Linked DNA regions of Drosophila melanogaster. The protein of the gene in region 1 interacts with the protein of each later gene in a pairwise test. Each region holds a gene or a part of one and is shown in the gene's direction. Other genes may lie near its edges.

What was found.
Region 2: the proteins of Lipt2 (region 1) and SPoCk interact in a two-hybrid assay, tested with the Drosophila melanogaster proteins (one large-scale study listed by BioGRID).

What each region holds. Positions count from the first base shown.
Region 1 is NT_033777.3:4,435,577-4,439,116, reverse strand, and holds Lipt2 (Lipoyl(octanoyl) transferase 2), read left to right. Parts: upstream 1-1,787; 5' UTR 1,788-2,009; coding exon 2,010-2,714; 3' UTR 2,715-2,895; downstream 2,896-3,540. Other genes in the region: CG14650 (uncharacterized protein), read right to left, coding at 1-1,489; CG1074 (uncharacterized protein), read right to left, coding at 3,066-3,540. UniProt on the Drosophila melanogaster protein: Catalyzes the transfer of endogenously produced octanoic acid from octanoyl-acyl-carrier-protein onto the lipoyl domains of lipoate-dependent enzymes. Lipoyl-ACP can also act as a substrate although octanoyl-ACP is likely to be the physiological substrate.
Region 2 is NT_037436.4:22,758,102-22,763,056, forward strand, and holds the start of SPoCk (secretory pathway calcium atpase), read left to right. Parts: upstream 1-1,875; coding exon 1,876-2,139; intron 2,140-2,687; coding exon 2,688-2,708; intron 2,709-4,955.

The sequences.
Region 1 (3,540 bases):
TGATTTTGTTACTGCCTGATTTACGTGATGAAGTGCTAGAATTCGTTGCCGGAGTAAAATTGAGAACATTGCTGTGGTTCTGCAAGCTGCTGTTGGCGGACACCGGAGTGGTCTTATGCTCCGAAAACTTAGGGGCGTTGCTATTTACGTTCTTCGGTTGCAGTGGCCGCTTCTTTTCCGGATTATTTAGTTTGTTTGATTTAATCTGCGGCTGTAGATTTGGCTGTGCTAGAGACTGAGACTGTTGAACCTTGAGCGGCGCGGTCTGGCTGACTTTACTTCGCTTCTTGCCTCGGCTGGCATGCGCATGACCAACACCGGGCACAAACGAACCCGTCTCCTTGGCATCGTGCAGCGGTGAACGTTTTGACGTCCGCATCTCGCGATTTCCATATGCATCCTCCTTTTCCGGACGCCTCTGCGATTGTACACTGTAGTCCCCACCGTTGTCTGCGCGCATATCTCGCCCTGCAGCACTCGGTTTTGTGCCTTTGCTGAGCACATCGGAGTACGACATGGGCATGGGCTTCACCTCGGCCACGATTCGCTTTTTGCCTTCGGGTTGGCCAGGCACGGCGACGCTCGACTTGTTGATGGCAGTTGGTGAAACGGTGGCAGTGGCCAAAGGCATTTTCAGAGACTTGGCTGGCTTGGAAGCCGCTGGCAGTGTATTGACGGATTGCGACAGTGGCTCAGGCTGCTGCAGGTTCTGATTAGGAACCTGTGGCTGTTGGGCTATCGAAGTCTCGAGAACGACGTCCATCTCGTTGGCCTCGCCATCAAATTGAATGTAGCTTCCACCAGTCAAATTGGGCGACCAGTTGTTTACAAGGTTGTTAATGAGAAGGTTAGCACTGCTCGACGAGTGATTGACTTGGGACACTGTTGGGGCCTGAGTCTGCGTCTGTTGGGGCTGTCGATGCTGGGCGTCTTGCTGCTGTGCATGTGGTAAAGTCAAAGGATTTGTGGCAAACAGTTCATACAGTGGAGTCGGCTGCGAAGGTGTCGGCGGAGCGGCCTGGTGTTGGTGCTGCAGCTGATGGTGATTAATCGAGGCCATGTTGATATGCGTGAAGAGTGGGGTGCCGGCTTCGCTGACCTGGTTGTCCGGGCAGTGGTACACTTTGAGAAAGTTGCCGGGTCCCACAGGCAGCACGGAGTAGGTCTCTGGCTGGCCTGGCTGACCGGAGTAGGACAGATTGAAGAGATACTCATTGTACATGTGGGGCTGCTGCTGCTGAAGATGGGGCGCAAATGGGGGGCCGGCTAGGTGCGGTGGTGGAGGTGGCCACATCAGCGGGACAGGTGCTTGTCCATGCTGCTGCTGGTGGATCAGATAGTTTTGGGTTTGATGTTGATGCTGCTGCTGTTGCTGTTGCTGCTGTTGGTGGGCCAGGTAGTTGCCCACTTCGTCAGTGTGGGGCAGGACGCGAAAGGGTGCAGACTCAGTGCTGCCCCCTCCAATCTCGTCGTCCTGACGAGTCGCCATGTCCTGCGATGGGGCCTATGCTTTTTGCGCACCAGCTCCGCTCGCCTATTGGAATTTCAAGCGTGCTCCATGTATTCACCGCAGCGAGTCTGTCACGGATGTGCTGCAATCGCAGGTGACAGGTAGTTGGTTTTCTGTGGCCCTAGCCCACTTTTTCACTCCAAACTCTAAATAATTCGCAGAGCGTCCGTGTGTAAGAGTTTTATATCTTTTTATTGCAAACGTCAAATGTAGTGTTGCCAGATGGGTGGAATTCCATTTTCCTAACTGCCCTCGACCAACCCTGGTAGTAACCTATCGAAAGATTTCCCTCCAACGTATTTTCCGAATTGTTGTTAAACTGTTGGATTATTAATCGAAGTTTCCTCAAATAAAAAAACAAATTTCGCCAACTTTTCCATTGCCACCAATCAGCCGTTTTTGAAGATACATATATTGATGAACCCGCTGATCGTGCAGCCCTGGTTAATATTTGTTGTTTTAAACGTTGCAGTCAAATGATTTTTAAACAATTAAAAAAATGCCTTTTGTCCGACCGCTGGTGACCGTGGTGCGGGCCGGGCGGCATAGCTATTCAGCAGGATTACAGCTACAGCAACGTCTTGCAAGGTCCAACCAGATCCTGAATCCGCCAGCGGAGTTCCGAAACTACCTGGTGCTTCAGGAGCACGACCCGGTCTACACAGTCGGACTAAGGACAAAGGACTATACGGCGCAGGATGAAGACCGACTCCGCCGGCTAGGAGCAGACTTCCATCGCACAGATCGCGGTGGCTTGATCACATTTCACGGCCCCGGCCAGTTGGTGGCCTATCCCATTCTGCACCTGGGTCAGTTCGTGCCGAGCATCCGCTGGTACGTGGCGACGTTGGAGCGGATGGTTGTCGAGGCCTGCCACCAGATGGGCATTTCCAGTGCCAAGGCGACCAAGGACACCGGTATCTGGGTGGGTGACAACAAGATCTGTGCCATCGGTATCCACGGCTCGCGTTACGTCACCACGCATGGAATCGGCCTCAATTGCTGCACGGATCTGCAGTGGTTTGAGCACATTGTGCCCTGCGGAATCGAAGGCAAGGGGGTCACCTCGCTCAGCAAAGAGCTGGACAGACATTTTCCTGTCGAGGAGGCCAGTGGCGCACTCCTCAATAGTTTCGCTAAAGTTTTCGAATGCCGCCTTCAGGAACACGCCAAAAAACCAGCAAGTTCTGCTGAAATCGGATAATATGGTTATTTGGATACATATGATGTATAAAGGACCGCCAAGTTTATTTCAACATTTATAATTTAAATTATGCATCAATACATATTTCCTGGCCTTCTGTTATCTCAACTTTTACGAAATGGAAATTTGTAAACTAGATTTATGTATTTCATAAAATATTAAAATAACATTATAACTATATACATATATAGACTCATTGTCAATCGTATTTATCTATTTTTTTTTTTGTCCAAATCTGAATCAAAATCTTCGAAATGTATGCCATACAAGAAAACTCAGCGACACACAGCCAACAAAAAATTTGGCCCGAATCGAAGTTATATCTTACTATAAATTACACTTCAATGGAGATCACATAAATCGAGCTTTATTCAGGTCACACTTTTTGGAGCGCCCATCCGTAGGAATCTTTCCCCGTGCATTCATCTCCACACGAGCCTGTTCCCGCAGCTCTGCCTTCCGCATTCGACGCTCTTTGCGTGACTCCAGAGCATTATTAAAGTACCGATCCCTGAAGTCCTGCGAGGGCGTTGGCACCTGTTTTATGCTGCACAATAAGGGTTCTGTTGGACTATACTCGAAACACTTTTCATAGGTGAGTAGCCGCCTAGCTGTATTCCCAGTCAATTGCTGCTCAGAGTTAGCTATCAGGCTCAGATGCTGATGCTGTGGCAGCATCTTCGGGTCGTAGTCCTCGCTGTGAAAGGGTATCCAGCAGACAAGACGTCCTCCCAGTTTTAGGTGCCTCGCAGAGAACTCGAGAAGATCCCCATAGAGACTCTGCAAGGAATAGTGCGACGTTGATGGGTAATGCACCATGCTGTCA
Region 2 (4,955 bases), on another chromosome or scaffold:
GATAAACGGACATCGGGAGAGGCGAAAGCGAGAAGTTTATAAAAATAACTGTAGCTCGTATCTGCCAGATACAGATACAGATATACACAGTGCACCTACCCCTTCCCCATCTCCGGCGGTCCTTCTGCCAGAAGTTTTCGCAATTTTCAGATGCATTAGACGCAGGGGGAGATAGTGGAGCGGAGCTGGGTGCCGGAGGTATGTATAAGCTGTGCTAATGTCTGTCAGCGGGTAACCGCACTCAGTGCCCCAACAGATACAAATTCGGTAGGTCCTGTGTGGAAGGGGTGCTGGCTGGCCACGATCAGAATATCTAGCTAGGAGTTTTGTGTTAGAGAGACTGCCATGAAGACGGGCATTGCTCTTGGTGTATCAGGCAGCGGCTGCTTTAAAACGCAACAGCGAAAATTATATGCACTGCAATTCCGCTGAAATGTTTTGGATCCTCGAGCACGGGAAGCACTTTTCCTTCGAGGCGCAGAGGACTGGGCGCTACATCTCCCGCTTCACTTTTATTTAAACACGCCAGGCAACTTTGTGCGGCAATTACCTACGTTATGTTGGTTTATAAATCTAAATTGAAAAACTTTTTATTTGGCACTTCGTGAAAGGAGAGATGCCTGTTTATGATTTCGCTTTGTCTTTCACCTCCAAATTCGAATTTAAAACTTTTCCTGGAAACCAACTCCCTGCTAGTTGTGAATAGATTTTTATGGGAAACTCCCAGTTCAGGTGCTTAACCCCTGACCATTTTAGGACACATATATTGGTCAAGAACAAAGTCGGCTCGGTCGCGGAATTATTTTTTGAAAATGCTTCGTATAAAGGCAAGAAGGGAAGCTAACTTTGGCAAGCCGATGCTTATATACCCTTGCAGTTACCTAATATTTTAAACCACTCACACCTTAGAGCATTCAAATAATAATTTTTTCCCCCAATTTATACCGATATTCCTGAAAATGTTGATAATTCTCGGTCCCACTTGGACTAGCTGAGTAACGGGTATCTGATAGTCGGGGAATTCGTTATAGCATTCTCTCTTTTTTTAAAACAGAGACTGGAAATTACTAGAACAATTTATTTCGTACGTTTATGGTTATGGTGTGTTATTTATTTCATACTAGTACATAATTATAAGCTTTAAGATGCCTGATTCTTAATTTAAAACACTATAAATCAACACTACTCTCACATATGAATTTCTCATGTGTGGTAACCCCTAAATCAAGTCCATTATTGCTTGTCACTTACAAACGGGAAACTTAATGGTCATACCTCTGGTTGTCTTAAGCCCCAACGCCCTGCGGCTTTGCAGCCAACGACCGCATATCTCTGACTGGCCATTGCGCCCAACTATTATCCACCCAATCCACCCTCCGCGACTCTCAAGGCTCAATAAATAACTTATCCTGCGCATATTAGATTGTTGTACTGAGGACTTTGTGACCACCCTCCAGTTACGTAAATCGAGTCAATTGACAGGTGTTTTTTAAATTGAATTTTTTACCATACGTAAAGAGCGCTTGTTCGTTGCAGTTTCCATTTGATTTTGATTCGGTTTGTCGAAAATAAACGATTTAAAATCTGGCTCTGGGAATAGTTTAGCTCCAGAGTGGTTTGCTGCCCAGTACTTACTGTTCAAACTTTACGCAGAATGAAGAGAAGAAGGTGTTTTCCATATGGCGACACTTTAAGGTTCCCACCCCGGTGGGCCGATAATTAGATTACTTATGTCCCGAGATGGGTAACTCTATGGACCTTATCAAGAGAAGGACACGCGTAGGGTATTAACGTAAATGGAAGGGCAGTTCATTGCTCTTTACGAGGCGGCGCCCTCTGCTTCATTGAGTCTTACTTCAGTACAAATTCGCCCGAATGTCCAAAACTCCAAAGCCCTTGACGTCCAAGCGTAGGACCTCGCCGGCAAGTCCTGGCTCCACGGTCCTGATTGAAAGCCCAACAACCTCGAGTGGCGTACGCAATCGCCGTTCCAAGATCAAGGGCGTCGACAGTAAGCCTAACCCACAGAGGACCATCAGCCACGTCAAGGACTCAAGGGCTGTTCCGCAAAATGTGAAGCCGGGCAAAGTAGCAGACATGAAGGATTGCAAAGAGCCGGATGAGGACAATGTGGATCAGGTGAGAGGTGATGAAAAATATGTTTTGACTATAGTGATGAGATATGACGGGGTTACTTTGCTATGTACGCGTATTTGTTCAGGGAATTCAAGTTCCTCGACCAATTCTCCCCATTCTCACTGGGACGTGTCTCCGCATAACTTGGGCATAACAATTTTAATACTTATTATTATTATGACGAAATTCATAATGCAAGGGGCAGAAACTCTTGTTCTTCTAAAGTATATATGTTTTGGAATCGCTTTAATTAATAAATAATTTGGGTGGGATTTGTGTACGATGTTTAAAAGGTTATATTGAACAAAATGTGAAAAAAGATTACATTATGTGGCTGATGTCTGCAATGCTACCTTTTTTAGGTGACTAATTCCTAATACAACTACTTTTTATAATAATTATTATTAAAGTAAAAAGACCTTCTCATAAGGCCATTTGTTATAATTTATCTATCACCTTTTCCGTCTTTTACCTTTTCAGGTATGTATGTAAAACTTGAGTTTCCTCTTAATTCTAAGCATCACACTTTTCACGTGTATACAACAACAAAGCAAAATGGAAACATTATTCAGGCTCTCAGGCTTAACTGTCGTAATTAAAATTCACACAAAAACTAATTAACACCACACAGATGAAAATCAAGAGAAGTTGCTAAATTCGAGTTCCCCGACTATCAGATACCCGTTACTCAACTAGTGGAAATGCGAACACGAAATTTCATCATATTTCTGAAGTATCGATAGATATTGGAGAATAAAAGAAAAAATTTAAAAATTGTTTAAAAGTGTGGGCGTGACCGTTTTGGGCGTTTTGTAGGTGTGAGAAGGGGCGTGGCCAAAGTGTTTTTGGTATACCGGTAGAACTTGGCAAGACTGTGGGCGTTGCAATATGGATCAACAAACTTAAATCTGTATGCCTAATCTAAACCATCCTGGTAAGATGAACATGGCCAGTTTGACTCAGCTATTGATCAGGAATATATATATACTATATATAGTCGAAAACGCTTCCTTCTGCTTGTTACATACTTTTCAACGAAGCTAGTATACCCTTTTACTTTACGAGTAACGGGTATAATCTTAAGGATCCAAGGATGCATAGCCAAAATTAAATAGTTAGAAAAATGTCGACAGTACTTCTACGATTACCAAGTCCATAAGTCTTTACACCAAAATAATGTAGCTAAAGTACTGGTGTATATTTGCAACGTCACCGACTATCTCTCTTCGAGTGCGGACGTCTGTGTCTTTCCAATTGTGTGAGCTTTGCTTATCGCGTAATTACCATCGCCGTTACATTGATATTTATCATCTTATCTTCTTGATCTTCTTATCAACGCGTACGTGCAAATCAAAAACATTCAATATCCATAAATTTATTAACCATGGCCCCCGGGCCACTCAATTTGGGGGATAATCGCTTTGCCAGTCTCAGCGTTAGCCCCAAAGCTAAGAAAAAAAGACCCTATCAAAAATTACAAGTTGATTTCCCAGACCTCCCTGAAACGCAGTGCAAAAATCCGAGATATTTAGTGGTCTCATCAAAAAACTCTCCGAAAACCATATCCGACTACAACTGCTTTGCTGTCCATAGAGCCCTTAAGTATATCAGCAAAGACATTACATCCATCTCTAATCTTCGGGATGGTAACCTTCTCTTGCTGGTTAACTCCAGGGAAATTAGTGACAAATTTATCAAAGTGACTTCTTTACCTGGCTTATGCGATATCGAGTGCAAGCTCCACAACACTCTTAACTTTGTCAAAGGCACCATTTACGCTCCCTGTCTTATTAACATTCCAGAAAACGAAATTGTTGAGGAACTAAAATCACAAAATGTACACAGCGTATTTAAATTTACCAAAATGATCGACGGCACCCCCAAACCTTTTGGAAAAGTTCTCGTAACGTTCGACCGTTTCACTCTTCCCAGTAAACTAACGGTTTCCTGGCACACAGTTAAGGTGTCAGAATATATACCCAACCCGATGAGATGTAAGTCTTGTCAATTATTAGGACACACATCAAAGCACTGCAAAAACCCACCTGCCTGTGTATCATGCAATCTCGCTCCCCACCTTCCCGTGCCATGCACTCGCATTTTCTGTGCAAACTGCACCGGCCAACATCCAGCCTCCTCACCCGAATGCCCACAATACCAAACACAAAAACAACTGCTCCACATCAAAACAAGCAAAAAATGCAGTTTCCATGAAGCTCGCACTATACTAAAACAACAACAAAACACAACAAATAACCCCACGCTTACCTACTCGACCGTCGCAAACCAAAGCACATCATCCGTGATGCTTGTCAAAAAATCCCGAAACCCTAACACGATTACAAACACCGACTTGCCCACCAGCTCGACAAAAGTACCAGCTCCGCTCTCACCAACGTATCCCACTTCTCGGACGAACTCTTTGAATCTCGAAGAGAATCTTACTTCCTCCCCAAGCACCTCTGACAAAACTGATTTCTCTTACCTAAAAAAAACATGCATCGAACGATCTCGCTCCCTTAGGGCGGAAGCAAACGCTCTATTAGGACAAACCTACAACGACGACAACAATACGTTAATGACCTCAAGATCCAACTCAAACGAATCAATTGCTTCACAAACCTCAAATCTACAAACAAAAATCAACACAACAGACTCAGACACTATGGACGATCCCGATTCCTAGTCCTGATCCTCTCACCCTTACCTTCATATACACACACCACAAATTAATAACAGTCCAACAAAAAACAATAAATAAAAAAAAAAAAATTTTTAATCATGACAATTACTATATTACAATGGAACATCCACGGCAT